4 linked regions of the Bombyx mori genome follow. The protein of the gene in region 1 purifies or fractionates together with the protein of each later gene. This does not show direct contact. Links are inferred from orthologs where the notes say so. Each region holds a gene or a part of one and is shown on either strand. Other genes may lie near its edges.

Region 1 (4,234 bases):
TCTTATTAAATACGTTACATTTGTTCCATTTCATTCTTCGTACAATATTTTCAGCCTTAGTTACAAAATATTTGCTGTATGGCCTAGTTACTTTTGTCTGTCCAATAAACGAACTAAACATTCTCTGTGGTTCGATGGCTTAGTTTACATATTACGTGTATTATCTGTGCTATTTATCATAGATACCTACCTACTTGGCTTAAAAAACTTTGTTTCGAAGCCACTAGAAATTTATAAAAAAAAATCTACCTACTACCTACATATCACTACTAAAGATGGGTTAATACCGATATTTGTCAATATTAGCGAATACGAATATATTCATGATGTAATATTATAATAACTTAACTAATGCGTGAATATATCCTGATATCTTAATATACTTCGATAAAACGGGTAAACGAGTTAACCGAGTACGGTATTCGTGAAATAAGTTAATAATCATAGATAATACACATAAATTAGTTATTAAATTAATATAAATAGTATACTGTATCTAGGAATTTGATTTCATACTAAATATTTTACAAGTAATATTATGTACATTAATATGAATATTATTATTAAACCAGAATTTGGTCAACATTGTACATTAATATAAACAACAAGTTAGTAATATTATTTATTTCTTATTGGTGCATAAAAACATCAGCTTTTTTACTTTTTCTACCGAATGACCGGTACGTCGCTCAGAAATGAGTATTCCAGATTTCGAAAAAATCCTCTGATACGGTACTGAGGTGGCTAGTAGGTACACAACAGTTATATTAATAGTATAATCCATGAACCGTTTGGTTAGAAAGTCATTTCGATTCAAAAATCAAACTTTTATTTATAGTTTGAGAAGTTCTTAGAAGATAATTAACTACTACCACAAAAATATATTGTCATCATAATTTATTACATATAAACATTTAATGAAAATAAAGCTCACCGATTTTATTCCAATAAATGTGGAAATGCACTATTTTGTCTTGAGTCGAATCTTTAGTACAAACATAAAAAGTAATGCATTTAAAAATTCCCACTGGCATCTTTGACATGTAAAAAGTGCAATACAAAATAGTCCTTAAACTCATAGCGAAATATAGTTATTTTCATTGCTCAGTATATAAACATGTAGATTATCTCACTTACTCTTAGCGCATGCAGTGCATTGATATGAATGTGATAAACAGATATCCGCGAGACACGTACGGCGTATGTCAGTATATTTTCGTGTGATAGATATTTCGCTAGGAGTAACAGTGTTCTGTGGATAGATACAACCCGACTGATGTGAGCTGGCTATTATTATGAATAAGTGAATACGGAATATTAGCATATCAGAATTCGACGGATTACCGATAGACGAATACAAGCTGTATTACGAATATCTTAGTGAATGCTAATATATCGGTATCACCCTTAACCACTACCTACCGTATTCACTTCTCTTAAAAATGTGTATAATCTATGCTTCTCATTTTGACAATAAATAAAAAAAAAACCTGAAGATTTCCTTTCCTGTACTTAGCTGTTTATTGTATGTAATCAAATTAAATTTAGGTTAAACTGAACTAAAAAATTATAAACTGTGCAGAACGTAGAACTTAACATGGACAGCAAGACAACAAAAATGCCGAAAGTGGCAAAGGTACGAAAAAAGTGTTTGATGGTATTGTTGAATAATATTACTCCAATTTTAACATGGATCTCACGATTTTTAGGTGAAGAATAAAGCACCAGCAGAAATCCAAATAACAGCTGAACAATTACTTAGGGAAGCCAAAGAACGAGACCTTGAGATATTACCACCGCCACCTAAACAGAAAATATCTGATCCTGAGGAACTTCGAGACTACCAACATCGTAAACGTAAAGCATTTGAGGACAACATAAGAAAGAACAGACTTGTAAGTAAATTCAATTTATTAGTCGCTTACAATGTATAAATGACTGTTTTTCCTATTAATGTAATTGTTTCTCAGTTTTAAGACCATCCAATGCTTAGTTTTACTAGCTGATAGAGTTCACCAAATTAATTTCATTAATTGATTTCGTGCCATTACGATCCTTTGAACAATATAGGTTTCATGCTGTTTCCACAATAAGAAGGGTACTAAACAATTTCTACTCAGAGCATTACTGACGAAAACCAGATGAGGATACTTTTATTTAGTAGTATTTCTTCAAGAAAACAACAAATAATATAATAATATCGAATTTTAGTTTAATGGATGCTTTGTTTTTGTTTTCAGGTTATTGGGAACTGGCTTAAATATGCACAATGGGAAGAATCACAAAAGCAAATCCAAAGAGCTCGTTCAATATATGAGCGTGCTTTGGATGTGGATCACAGAAATGTTACCTTATGGTGAGAGCTATCATTACAATTAACAATTTTATTTGAAAAATTATTAACTTATGTGCTCTTGGTACTGCCAGTGTTTAAACCATATGACTATTTTAAAAAATGTTTGAGAAATCTGTGGTGTTAATTTTTTTTTGCATTCTTGGCTCATCTGATAGTAATTGTTAGTCACACTACTGAGTACTCTTTGTAAGCCTCATTTGAACAAGGACATATTGTTGGATCACTCAAGACATGGGCTTTAGAACAAAATTCATGTCACAGTGAAGAAAAAAATTAATTCTTAAAGAGTTACCATACAAAGATCAGCTTATAATAGAACATATAAAAAAGATTCCTATGTCACTCTGTTCACATTACAATTTTATTTGGTTAGTAAACTTGTAGACAATTGTGGACGAAATGTTAAGATGTTTGATATACTTGTAATGACCAATACAACTATACTAGAGTTCATAGCCTTTGTGCTACCTAAAGCCCAATATATTTAAGGAAATACATACCCGATATGAAGAAATTTCATAAGTAAATAAGAACAAAGTGTCATTACAAAATTGATACTCTATTAATGTATTGTGAACTGGCATGTAATATATCATCCTGCCTATTTCAACAGTTATGCATTTGGTTTGAATTGTCCAACAGTTGTTTTATAAAGGAATTGAGACTTCAATCTCAAATTGATGCCTATTTAGTCCAAGAGCCACTTATTTAACAAATAAAACAATCTGTACTTTGAAAAATCTGTAAAAGTCATGGACTTTCTTGGTAAATTTCTTACAGTTTTAACTGTTAAATTTGCGTCACTCTTCAATTATCCACACTACCTTAACTACCTGTACTTTAGGCTGTTATACCACACCAAAATATTCTCAGCGTATCATGGGTTTTAGGCTGAAGTATACTGAAATGGAAATGAGGAACAGACAGGTAAACCATGCCCGTAATCTATGGGACAGAGCTGTTACAATTCTGCCAAGAGTATCTCAGTTTTGGTACAAATATACTTACATGGAGGAAATGTTGGAAAATGTAGCTGGAGCAAGACAGGTGATATTTTTTATACATGTACAATTTCTCGTATAATGATAATAGTCACTGACTGTAACTGAAACAAGGTTTCTAATTTACTTTTGTTTCACAGGTATTTGAACGTTGGATGGAATGGCATCCAGATGAGCAAGCTTGGCAAACATACATAAACTTTGAATTGAGGTACAAAGAACTTGAACGGGCTAGACAAATCTATGAACAGTTTGTTATGGTGCATCCAGATGTAAAGAATTGGATAAAATATGCAAAATTTGAAGAAAACCATGGTTTCATAAATGGCTCTAGGACAGTTTTTGAGAGAGCTGTTGAATTCTTTGGTGATGAAGAATTAGATGAAAGACTGTTTATAGCGTTTGCCAAATTTGAAGAAAATCAAAAAGAACATGACAGAGCAAGAGTGATTTACAAATATGCTCTGGATCATGTCCCAAAAGACAGAAATAAAGAACTTTATAAAGCTTATACTATTCATGAAAAGAAGTATGGTGATAGATCTGGCATTGAGGATGTAATAGTAAATAAGAGAAAGTATATGTATGAACAGGAAGTTATAGAGAATCCCACAAATTATGATGCATGGTTTGATTATATTAGATTAGTGGAGAATGAGGGTAATTTAGATGACATAAGAGACACATATGAGAGAGCAATTGCAAATATCCCTCCTTCAAAGGACAAACAATTTTGGAGGCGTTATATTTACTTGTGGATTAATTACGCTTTATATGAAGAGTTAGAAGCAGAAGATTTAGATCGAACAAGACAAGTTTACAGAACCTGTTTAGAATTAATTCCTCATAAGATATTTACTTTCTCAAAAATATGGCT
Region 2 (4,089 bases), on another chromosome or scaffold:
AATAAAAAATAAAATAATAAAAATGTATACCTGAATAATTATTTTCTTTAGACCTCGAATAGAACTTGAAATTAATATTTTTATAATAAGGAACTTCGTTCCTATCCGGTGTCCCACGACACCACACATCTTTTTTTTACAAAGGCTGTAGTAATGTCTGTTAAAGAAAAGTAAAATAAAATGAAAAAAATGTTTGAAATAAAATGAATTTGAATGAAATTATATGACCATCGGTGTTTTATGGGACGAAATAAATTAATCAGTCTGAACAATAGTGAGAGTTTACTCGTCACTTAACTTTTTAGAAACGCTTGAAAAACCAAGTTCAACAACTTGGTTCCATTTTCTTAATCTTATCCACTTTCACGAATACGAAACCGTTGCTATTTATTAAACTTGTAGAAACACTGGATTAAGAAAATAGCACAACTCAGACAAGTTATCTTCTCCTATTTCTGCCAAGATTTTGGAATCGACTAAGAAAATAGAAATTTTTTAAACTACTTACCTATCATTATATTCTGCATAAATTTTAGGCCCGACTCTACGAAAGTTTTAAAATTCTACTAAGTTTATTCACGCTGAAGGTAATTGTTTTTACTCAACTAATTATAATATGTGCTTAGTGATTTTAATTAATTAAAAATATATCAATCAGAGGTGCTACGGTAATAAAATACCCCATTCTTTCTAAATCAAGAAGCTCTGTAGTGATACGTTTTAGTATTGAAATCGCATCAGATTTTAAGAACGCCAAATGGCACTTCGAAACATCAGTAGCAGGCTCTATCCGAATCATTTTCTATGGTTCGTACGTATATTAAAATATGAGTTAAGAGTGTGTTGCTGTGTGTTATTTTGTTTCTGACAGGGTATACGAGGAACGAAGTTTTTTTATTTTTTTATTTTTCTATTTAGTGTTTATTCAGGATTAAATGTGTAACTTAACAATAACGGTGGTTTATTAATAATTTAATATCTGTGAAAGTGCACCAATGTGGGAAAATGAAATAAAGCTGCTGGACGTTGCTTCTCGGGATCGTCTAAAAAGTTTACTGAAAAAGTTTCAGTAAATAACCACAATTTTACTGAAATTATATTTCATCCCATATCATCTCATCTCATTTCATTTAATTTTAGGTCAATTTATTAATGTTCCAAATGAATTAATTTCATTTCATTTCATGTCATAACTATTTTTTGTCATAAAAAAAAAATAGCATATTAGGCTGTATGGTATGATACTTTTGCCTTTTTAGTTGGAAAAGTGGAACTACCACTTTGTTTTTGACAGGTGACAGTCTTCGTTAAACAGTAAAGTCAAAATAGCCTAAAAATGTGAGTTTTGTGTGACTTTGTTCATACGTTAGAATTTGTTAGATTTGATGGTTTTAAAGTGAAGCTAATACTTAAAATGGACGAAGTCACTAAATTAGAGCATCTTTCGCTCGTGTCTAAAATATGCACCGAGCTAGACAACCATTTAGGTTTGAACGACAAGGATTTAGGTGAGTAGACTACTTTTGTTTTGATCATTAAATTACATGATAAAAGAACGATGTCATAGAATAAATACAGCGTTGCTTATACCAAGCAATAATTATGTTAACCGATACGATAGATTAAAACGAGCATTTTTTAATCAGGTTAATTGGAGCTAGTCAGAAACAAAGAGATCCTTTTACCATACTTCGAGGTTCTTGTGTTTTAACATCTCTAATTTTTTCATACAAAATTGTGTCTGGAATTTTAAATTACTATATTTGTTGCAGCGGAATTCATCATAGATTTGGCTGATAAGAATCCAACATTTGAAACTTTTAAAGTAGCATTGGTTGAAAATGGGGCTGAATTTTCTGATTCCTTCATGACAAATCTACTCCGTATAATACAGCACATGAAACCTGTGAATACATCAACATTGATTAAAAATATTGCCGAAACTGAAAGTGAAAATCCTTTGGCAAAAAAGTTTCCTGGCTTGGCCATACCAAATGATAAACCTCAATCTTTTTCTGATGAAAGTAGTGATGATGAAAAAGACAAAAAGAGAATAACAGCCAAAGACTTATTTACAGAAGAAATTAAACCAAGTTCTACTGATAATGTTGTTGATTTGGCGATGGCTGAATTGGAAGCTTTAGCACCTTCCAATTCTACAACAAATGAACTTCTTATAGGAAAAGAACCCCTAAAAATTGAGAGTAGTAGAAATAGTGATCACAAAGAAAAGAATAAATCAGAAGAATCTAGAGATAAAGAGAGTAGGAGTCGAAATCCTAAAAGAAGCAGAAGTAGGGAACGTAAAAGAAGCAGAAGTACACAGAACACAGATAAATATAAACTAGAAGAATCTCGAGATAGAAAAAGGCATAGTAGAAGTCGAGATCGTAAAAGAAGTAGGAGCCGAGATAGAAAAAGAAGTAGGAGCCGAGATCGTAGAAGAAGTAGGAGTAGAGATTATAAAAGAAGTAGAAGTAGGGAACGTAAAAGAAGTAGAAGTAAAGGTAAGAGAAGTCGTAGCCGGGATAGGAGAAGCAAAAGTCAAGACAGAGACCGTAGAAGAAGATCACACAGTCGACATCGTCACAGATCCAGGTCTAGGGACAGGCGTAGATCTTACTCGAAAAGTAGAAGATCAGTATCAGGTGGCAGAAGATCTCGTTCAAGAAATAGAGAAGAAAAATTTGATTATGGCAAGAAAAGCAGAAAACGCAGCCCTGAAGTAGAATTGAACGATGATCCTGAACCAGGAAAAGTAAGCTCCTTTAAATGTCTCAATTATTGCATAATTTTTATCACACTAGTTCAGTTTGACTCTCTACTTTTAGGGAAGATAGTGCAACTTTTGCTCCTGGTAATATATTTTATGAAATTAGCGCATATTATTTGCACTTATTATTTGGCATACTCACACTGTCTTTTAATATGTAACCGTTTTCTTATTTTATCACACTCAATTTTGTGAGCCTTGCCCCCATTGTGGCTGTGCCACTGCCCTGTTTTTTAACCTTTTTAAAAATATCTCTATAGTATAAATTATTCAATATACTTTTAGACAATGATAAAAAAATAAATACTCACCATGTGAATAAATTATGACATTGGAACCAATACTTCCTCCCGTTGTCATTAACATATTATTGCAACTTTAAAAATGATTGTTTTTTTTGGATATACAAATTAAAATATTTTCATAAAGGATTTATCATTAAGCAAAGTGTGAATTAACTTGGAATACTGTTTTAATTTATGGCTTGGTAGATAAATTATTTTTTAGAAATAATAATTCTTCTACTGTTGAAATTATGATTTTACAACGTTGATATTAAAAATACTTAGTCCTATTTTAAACAACTTGTCTCTAAGTTTTTGGTGAACTGAAAAGCCTTAGAGATTGTAATTAGAAAAGTAATCGAAAGCTTTGGCCTAAAGAGTATGATATGTTGATCCAACGTAATTCTTATTTCACTACATTATGGATCAATGTAAGCAAGAGTAGGCACAAAGTTATTCAGCCTACCAATACAACTAAACATTTGAGAATTACACTGTTACCATGTACATATATCAGTTCCTTTATTGATTTACAGATATACAGTGGCCGCGTTGCAAACATTGTACCATTCGGCTGTTTTGTTCAAATTGAAGGAGTCAGAAAAAGGTGGGAAGGATTGGTGCATATCTCACAGCTGCGAGCTGAGGGTCGTGTCACCAATGTATCTGATGTTGTCAATAGAGGTGATAAAGTTAAGGTAAATTAGTATTTAAGTTTTAATTGAGCACTTATAAGAGAGTATTGGAATAACTTGAAGCAAAATACCAGTACTCAATATACTCAGATACAAAATACTCAGTAAGATACCCACTGTCCAATTTTTATTTTTAACTCCTTTTGGTCAGTGTTATTATCATAGAACGTAATTGAAAAGGAAAATGCTAAAGAAATTGAAAGATTGAGGGAGAAGAAAGAGACAAAAGAAAGGAAGTTAAGAGATGAACTCAATCTAATCATAGATAACTATAGTAATTAATTTACATATATACAGAAACAAAAATTTCACATTTACAGGTCAAAGTAATCTCAAT
Region 3 (4,141 bases), on another chromosome or scaffold:
TTACTGCTTCACGGCAGTAAAAATCAGAGTGTTGCTACCTACTCTTGTGGGCGTATAAGTCACCCTACCATTAGTAATTACGCATTATATAATTTTCGCAGGTTTGATTTTTATTATAGGCTCTTACAGTTTTACTGGCTTGGACGCAGCGCTCGATCCGAATGCACCGGGCGTCATAATCCGCAGGCCACCACCCCTTCAATAGCTGGTCGTTCTTGATGGACATTCTGGATTATTATTAGTCTGGACTGGATGCGATAGGCAAGAGACCTAGAATAATGGAGTGTATTTGAAGAGACCTATACTCAGCATTAGGTGGATAAGGTTTGAAGAAGAGATGAAAATTCTAGAGGCATTTAAGAATTCGTCCATTACCTTCGTAGATTGTTTTCATAAGAAGTGTAATACTTATTAACTGTAGATTATTTTGAGTACCTTAAAGGACTAGACTATATCTGTCAAAACCGTCAGATTTGACAGTTTTTTGAAAAACTTTGCGGTCCATCTTATCGTTTCATTACATATATTTCGTTCAATTTCATTCACATGTATTACTAATACAAAATACATTTTTTTCATTACACTCCGGTGTTTGGTTCCTTTGTTATCCAACACAGTATTTAAAAAAGAAACGAGCTGCCGAAGAGATATTTAATTTTGAGTTTGAGTAGGTCAGAATCGCATAGTATAACTCTTTCCTAATGATAACCTTAACGGTTTCCACTGCTTTTCCTTTTGCTATAAAATATTACAGGGCTTTTGGTAAGGTAATGTAATGATTATTTAGTTGTAATTATACTGTATACCTAGTTGAAATTATATTAACCAGTAAGTATACCAGCCCCCTTCAGCTCCCTTCCATTTTACTTTTTTATTATTCATCCGTCTTTAAGAACGGATTTCGTTTCTACCTCACGTTTAATTTCTTATCTGCTTTTGTTTGGTATATACTGGTGGCAGATACAAAGATTGCAAGACGGCGCCAATGGCGAACTCTTCTATCTATTTTTGCTATAGAGCAATCTTAAATTCCTGTTTAAAAAGGAGAAATGCCGATATTCCCAATAAATTAATTCGTGACTAGTTAGATTAAATCAAAAAACAACTAGAAAACTATTTTGTTACATATCTCACTATCGAATAGGAAAATATTTTATCATACTTGAAACTGAGAATGAGATATTTATCGTTTGTGTAATTTGCTACTCTGAGCTTACCTTAAATTACGTAAAAATCAACTGTTTATTTGAAAATCATTGAATCCAAAGATATTAAGTGATTACTTATGTTGTTTATTTTAATTCCTTCAATGAAGTAGGAAACCTATAGGTCTATGAATTCCTTTGACAAAATGACATTTGACTTTTTGAATTGTCATTCTCTTTGAGGTTATGTTTGATATAAACAAACCGCTATCGGCGCTATCACACAAATAGTTAGCTATGTACCTAAATTTCATTTAAATTTCGAATAATTTAATATAAACACACGTGAAAATGTCGAGTAAGCCTAATTCTAAGCGGACAATATACGTTGGAGGGCTAGCTGAGGAGGTCGACGAGAAAGTTTTAAACGCTGCTTTCATCCCTTTCGGGGATTTGGTTGATGTTCAAATACCTTTGGATTATGAGACTGAGAAGCATCGGGGCTTCGCTTTCATAGAGTTCGAAAACGCTGAGGATGCTGCCGCAGCGATTGATAACATGGTCAGTACTTTTACAGTGAAATACATGGCAGATGCTGGACATGGATTCTTTCAGTTCTAGTCCATAGGTATGATACAAAATACTCATTTTGGTACAAACGAAGGGTACACATCTTTGTTTATCGTTAAAGAATGTGAAATTACATTCAGGAATTATTTTTGGACAAATAAGATATATAAGTCTATATTTATTACTTATACAATAATATCTGACATTTTAAATTCTTACATTTTTTCGGTCTTAAATGTCCATTGTGAATATAGTAAGAGGTGAAGAAGTGTTATTATTGTTGTTATAACTCGGAAGTCCCCGAGTTTTTATTACAGATGGTAGGGTATATTGTAAGCCCAAGGGGTAGGTGCCACCAACATGTTTATTTATGATTTCTGATTGGCACAGTAGCCATCACCAGTGGAATAACCACAATTGAAACTACAACCTTATGTCTCAAGGTGGGTGGCAGCATTCACATTCTGATGGCTGTTGTCTTGTAATTACATAAACCTGGTGACATGAGTTTGTACATACTTATCACAAGCAAAACCTACCATAGCTAAAGGAATCTATATTGAAGAGTGAAATGCTATTTGGTATAAGCAACATTTTCCTTAATACACAACTTCATCTTCATAATTAAAGGTGTGTTTTATTTGGTATTAGCAAGAACAGTTTGATGGTTTTAATTGCTCTTTAATTGAGTTTATTCCATTAAAAAAGCTAAAGAAGTTTATTTGTTATGGTATTTTTTCCAAATTTTAAACTTTAAATGGCCTTTAAGTTCCAAAAATGTCAATATGTCCGAATGTTTGTAGGCAGCGGCTTGGCTCTTCCCCTGGCATTGCTGACGTCCATGAGCGACGGTAACCACTCACCATCAAGTGGGCTGTATGCTTGTCTGCCTATACGGCAATAAAAAAATATGTCACTTAAAACAAATAGCCTTTCACCCCTCAATATAAGGTATTGAAGGGAGAATTAAAATTATTTGTGTGTAATTTAAACCTCATCATTGGAAAATACTTTTTACTGATATTATAATTATATTTGTAATACATATTATTACAGTAAATAAAATATTGTTTCACATATATTTATACACGTCATGTTTCAAAGGTTTTTTTTTTTAAATTCCGGATTAAAGGAGATTTTGATTATTTTAATAATTTATTTAATTGACTAACACTAAAATGTTTAATATAATATTAGCTTAATACATTATCAAACTGCCATTCATAACTAAAGTGTAGGATATTGTAATAGAAAAAAGTTATATACACAGTAAATAAGCTTTTATAAAATAGGTTTGAAATTATTAATCTACTAGAAAATGACATCCATAGAGACATAGATGACCCTAGAAATATAGACATATTGTGGAATGCATAATTAAAAAAATTTAAACATGCTTAGTAATATTTTCTCATTTTAACTTGTAATCTAACTATTTATTTCTAGAATGATTCAGAACTATTTGGTAGAACAATACGAGTGAACATAGCAGCTCCGCAACGCATTAAAGAAGGCTCCACACGACCTGTCTGGTCGGATGACTCATGGCTGCAGAAACATGCTGGGGAAACTCTTCAACTGAACAAAGATGGTGAAGAAACTGAAACGAAAGACAAAACCGAAACTACTAGTGTAAGTAATCTAAAGTACATCAAATTAAGAAATAAGATGGTTATGATTCGGACATAACATGTGAAAGGATAATAAATATTATCCAAAACATTGATAAAGATGATTGATTTTAAGGATGCATAATATAAGGACTAAAGCGTTTAAAGTAAATGTATAAAGACTCTGGGTAAGGGGTTTGATAACTTTGTCACTAGCATTAGTCATATTCTTGAGATAACATAAACTCTGTCAAACGTTTGGCTTGTAATTTGGTATTATGTCAGTTACAGAGCGAATGCTACCTTCAGACGTTAATTACAAGTCTGAATTTTATTTAAATATCGACTTTTCTAACTTCACCTCAAAGGAAGTGAAATTATGATGGTAATTTTTTGTTCTATGATACTCTCCATGTCTTCGTATTGTGTCCAGTTTTCCAGTCAAGAGTTTATTGAGTTAGCACATACATTAAATTGTTTTCAAGTGATGTTATGAATATACTAAAACAAAGTGTGTAAATTTACATTGAAATTCTTCTCTTCTTCATCTTTTTCTCCACCTTATCCCACTACACACTTTACCCAGGTGGGCTTGAGCTCGTCCACATATCTAAGAAATAAAAAAAAAACTAGGTGGGGTCGGCACAGCTAATTTTTCTCTTCCATTCTCTTCTATTAGCCATCATCTCAACACTCACTCGTCTCTCTCATATCATATCGTCGTTCACACATTCCAACCATGTCTTCTTCGGTCGACCTCTTCCTCCTCTACCTTTTTCATACTATTTCCATAGATCTCCTAGTCACATGCCTCAA
Region 4 (4,061 bases), on another chromosome or scaffold:
TGTAGATCTGAATACTTAATTTTTGATTTTATGCTACATATTTCATACATTTACAAGCCATTTTTTTAATTCATTCATACCTTTGTTTAGATTCATAGAAATGTAAGAAATTATGTAAATATACCTATTGTACTGTACTTACTATTAAAAATTGTCACATCGTGTTATTGAAAATATGTATGTATTAAGAATAAATTAAAATGAATATGTAAACGAATATTTGTATTATTTTAACGATTTTATAGTGGATTCTAATAGGTAGTTGCTCATATCTTTAACACAAATTCTCTTATGTTATAACGTAATTTACTACGTCGTTATTAATGGCCGTTTTCTAATTAGAGCACAAGGGCGCATTATGCGGCATAATGCTCAACTTAGCTTCAGCATAATTCGGCATTGTGCGTCACTGAGTCGCATTATGCTCTTGTGCTGTAATTGGAAAAGGCTTAGGTGTTTCTTCAGGTTTAAATGTGTAATAACGGCGGTTTATTAACTGCTTAGTATCTGCGATAGTGCAAAAATGTGGGAAAATGAAACAAAGCCGCTGAACGTTTTGAAGTTGTCGATAAGACGTCCGGTGCATTCGTATGTAGCGATGCACCGGTGTTCAAATCCCGCAGGCGGGTACCAATTTTTCTAATGAAATACGTACTCAACAAATGTTCACGATTGACTTCCACAGTGAAGGAATAACACCGTGTAATAAAAATCAAACCCGCAAAATTATAATTTGCGTAATCACTGGTGGTAGGACCTCTTGTGAGTCCGCACGGGTAGGTACCACCACCCCGCCTATTTCCGCCGTGAAGCAGTAATGCGTTTCGGTCCGAAGGGTGGGCTAGCCGTTGTAGCTGTACTGAGACCTTAAAACTTATATCTCGAGGTGGATGGTGCATTTACGTTATAGATGTCTATGGGCTCCAGTAACCAGTTAACACCAGGTGGGCTGTGAGCTCGTTCATCCATCTAAGCAATAAAAATAAATAAATAAAAAGGTAACTTCTCGAGATCCTTCAAAAAATCTTAGTAAATGACCACCATTTTAATGAGATTCTATTTCATCCCATATGATTCCCTCTCATTTAATTTGATTTAATTTCATGTCATGTTTCATATTAACTTCATTTCATTTCATAATATCATTTTTCATTTAGAAAAGATTTCATTAAAATTAAAATAAGACTTGACCTAAAAGTCTTAGTTACCAGGTCATAAAATCCTTTTGAAAAAGTGCATCACTTTGATTGCTTTGACTGACAGTGACAACACAATTGACATTTGAAAAATTAAGCATTTTCACTATTTTCAGATTGCTGCATACATATTTGAATTATAATTTTGCTGTGTAAATCATAAATAATCTAAAGTCTTATTTTCGGGTGTATAAATTAAGTAGGTACTAACACCGCGGAGTATGGTAATAATGGACAGTGCAGAATCTGTCGGTAGCTTAGAAGAGCAAGCTCTCAAAAGAAAAGAAAGACTGAAGAATCTAAAAAGAAAACGAACAAACAGTGATAATACATCACATAATACTACAAATGAAACAATGACACTGCCCAAGTAAGTTATAAACAATTTAATCTGTAAATTCAAAAACAAAACTTTACTAGTGAAGGATTATTAAATTTAAAAAAAAATGAACGCTCATAGCTTGTTATGGCATTAATGTATTTGATGATTTAATAACTAGCCAAGACGTTCGTAAAATACTGGGAAATTTCTTGAATCACTGAACCAGAATGATTCCGATCCGGTAGTAGATTCATTTGCGAAGCAATTGCTCTTGAGTTGTTAGGTTTCCTTCGAAGGCGCTCAGACAGTTGTTAGCAAATCCTACCCCTCCTGGCTGAGCCTTTGTTCGCCACCTGTCCTGGTGAAACTGGAAGGGCCTTCGGGCCACCAGTAATCTTTCAATCATAAAAAGTGGGCATAAGAATAATACCACTAAATAATTTGCATGATTTAATGGCTGCTGGTAAATAAAACAATAATCAGACTATAATTTTTGTAGCTATTTATTTTCCTTATTATTCTTTTTTTGTGTAATGTTTGTTTGTGATATTTATTTTTAAAACCAACTATCATTATTGTAGACCAAAATTTAGAAGTTACAAGCCTCAAGATGGAGCGTTACAAGAATCCAAACTTAGTGATGCAGAACCAACAGTGATAGAAGAAGAAGTAAAAGATTTGTTGGAGGCTGGTAAAGAAAAGGTACTACAATTAGCTATATTTACATAATGTAAACAACCACTGCTCCCAAAATTGTAACAATATTTCAAAAATAAAATGATGTTCATGGAAGTTCCAAGAATATTTGTATAATAACGTTTTCCTTGGATGTGGGAGTAATAAAATAATTAAAACAATTGTTACAGTTTTACTGACAACTCAATGATTCTTGAAAATTTCTACACAATACAGTTAGGAAGTTAGTTTAATGATACAGCTGCCACTGCTTTTCCATCTTGACTTCATCTTGTAGTCACCGTAACTAAGTCATCTAAATTAAATTCAAAATAATCAAAAAAATAATTAAATAAGTACTTGGAAATGGACACTCTTAATGAAAAATACTTTCATACAAATTTTATGCGTAGATTAACCATGGATGAATGTTCAAAATGTTAATTTCAATTTGTTGTGATCTATTTAAATTATTAAATTTATAATTATCTGAAACATATAACAGCTATACCTGAGTCCTTAGAACTTATGTCTCAAGGTGGGTGGCGCATTTACGTTGATGTCTATGGACTCCAGTAACCGCTTAGCACCAGGTAGGCGGTGAGCTCGTCCACACATCTAAGCAATACAAAAAAAAAAACAAGTTGTATTTGTTATTTAATAATATGAAAAAACTTTAGGTGGTGCTCCAGGATCTCGACATAACAAGTTTAGCACCAAGAAAACCAGACTGGGATCTCAAACGAGATGTGGCCAAGAAGCTAGAGAAATTAGAACGGAAGACACAGAGAGCCATAGCTGAATTGATTTGGGATAGACTGAAACATGGAAATGAAGATAATTTAAGTGCTATGATTACAATGACTGCTAACCGACCTACCATTACAGATGATGACTAAATTTTATGTGTCCCGCAATAATTTTATATAAGAAACTTAAAGCATGCAAAAGTGGATTTAAATATTAAATGTAGTTGTGACCTAAAAGATAAGATGCCCAGTGAATTAATACCGAGGGTATGACTGTGCTATTGTGCGAAACCTGTAGGTGGAAAGTCAGTTGTGTAATAAAAAAAACTCAAAACCTATTAAATTTGTATAAGTATTGTTCATGAAGCATAATTAAGATCCATATGTTTAGGGTCCCATAATCTTAACAATAGGTTTGAAGGGTGGAACAGCCTTACAATTCTGATTTTGACCTCCAATCTCAAGGTGGATGGCAAAATTCATGTTACAGTGAGCTCTGAGCTCCTAATGCAATTAGATAAATTTTAAATCTTTTTTTTTTGTATTTTAGTTATTGTACTTTGATTATGAAAGAGTTATCTTTATTTCTCAAGGAGAGCACTGGCTTTCACATTGTGTTGTTAAGGGTCTAGGTAAACGCTCACTTATACATGTGCCATTAGTCTCTTTGTCTTAGCTAAAAACGAGAACAAAAATGAACATGGATATGGATCCAATATTAATTCAATTTAATTTGTTAATTGTAAATACAGATTCATGATCAGTACTTCAACAGGATCCATGAGCCACTCATGATGGATTATTCCACCATTCTTGTCTTCACAAAACACCAAGTGATATGTATGTATGTATATCTAAATCTATTTTAATAAAACAGTTAATTTAATCTCAAAGTATTTTAATATCACAGTATACTAGTAATTATGTAAACGATATCTCTCGTTAGTCTATTAATTTATATAATAAATTATTCCTACCACTTTTTAAATAGGTATGTACATGTAATAGTCAGATTTATACTTTACGGAACAATTTTCTAACAGTTTTTACTATATGTTAATAATAATAAATTAGTTGCCATAAAACTAATTCTAATTAAATCATTAGTAGTTCTAGACA

What was found. The genes of interacting proteins can lie anywhere in the genome.
Region 2: the proteins of protein crooked neck (region 1) and ATP-dependent RNA helicase DHX8 purify together in Homo sapiens (affinity purification with mass spectrometry; 3 studies listed by BioGRID and IntAct, counting the BioPlex papers as one, with this or other methods). This does not show direct contact. The link is inferred for Bombyx mori from reciprocal best matches to the Homo sapiens genes CRNKL1 and DHX8.
Region 3: the proteins of protein crooked neck (region 1) and peptidyl-prolyl cis-trans isomerase purify together in Homo sapiens (affinity purification with mass spectrometry; 3 studies listed by BioGRID and IntAct, counting the BioPlex papers as one, with this or other methods). This does not show direct contact. The link is inferred for Bombyx mori from reciprocal best matches to the Homo sapiens genes CRNKL1 and PPIE.
Region 4: the proteins of protein crooked neck (region 1) and coiled-coil domain containing 12-like protein purify together in Homo sapiens (co-immunoprecipitation; 3 studies listed by BioGRID and IntAct, with this or other methods). This does not show direct contact. The link is inferred for Bombyx mori from reciprocal best matches to the Homo sapiens genes CRNKL1 and CCDC12.

Annotation. Positions count from the first base shown.
Region 1 is NC_085124.1:5,696,923-5,701,156, forward strand, and holds the start of protein crooked neck, read left to right. Parts: upstream 1-1,434; 5' UTR 1,435-1,597; coding exon 1,598-1,636; intron 1,637-1,709; coding exon 1,710-1,895; intron 1,896-2,240; coding exon 2,241-2,356; intron 2,357-3,246; coding exon 3,247-3,403; intron 3,404-3,497; coding exon 3,498-4,234. UniProt on the Homo sapiens protein: Involved in pre-mRNA splicing process. As a component of the minor spliceosome, involved in the splicing of U12-type introns in pre-mRNAs.
Region 2 is NC_085116.1:15,847,775-15,851,863, reverse strand, and holds the start of ATP-dependent RNA helicase DHX8, read left to right. Parts: upstream 1-1,289; 5' UTR 1,290-1,414; coding exon 1,415-1,508; intron 1,509-1,772; coding exon 1,773-2,758; intron 2,759-3,593; coding exon 3,594-3,755; intron 3,756-4,072; coding exon 4,073-4,089.
Region 3 is NC_085121.1:14,019,557-14,023,697, forward strand, and holds the start of peptidyl-prolyl cis-trans isomerase, read left to right. Parts: upstream 1-1,341; 5' UTR 1,342-1,496; coding exon 1,497-1,706; intron 1,707-3,161; coding exon 3,162-3,347; intron 3,348-4,141. UniProt on the Homo sapiens protein: Involved in pre-mRNA splicing as component of the spliceosome. Combines RNA-binding and PPIase activities.
Region 4 is NC_085115.1:6,396,698-6,400,758, reverse strand, and holds coiled-coil domain containing 12-like protein, read left to right. Parts: upstream 1-1,261; 5' UTR 1,262-1,417; coding exon 1,418-1,566; intron 1,567-2,099; coding exon 2,100-2,220; intron 2,221-2,873; coding exon 2,874-3,092; 3' UTR 3,093-3,828; downstream 3,829-4,061.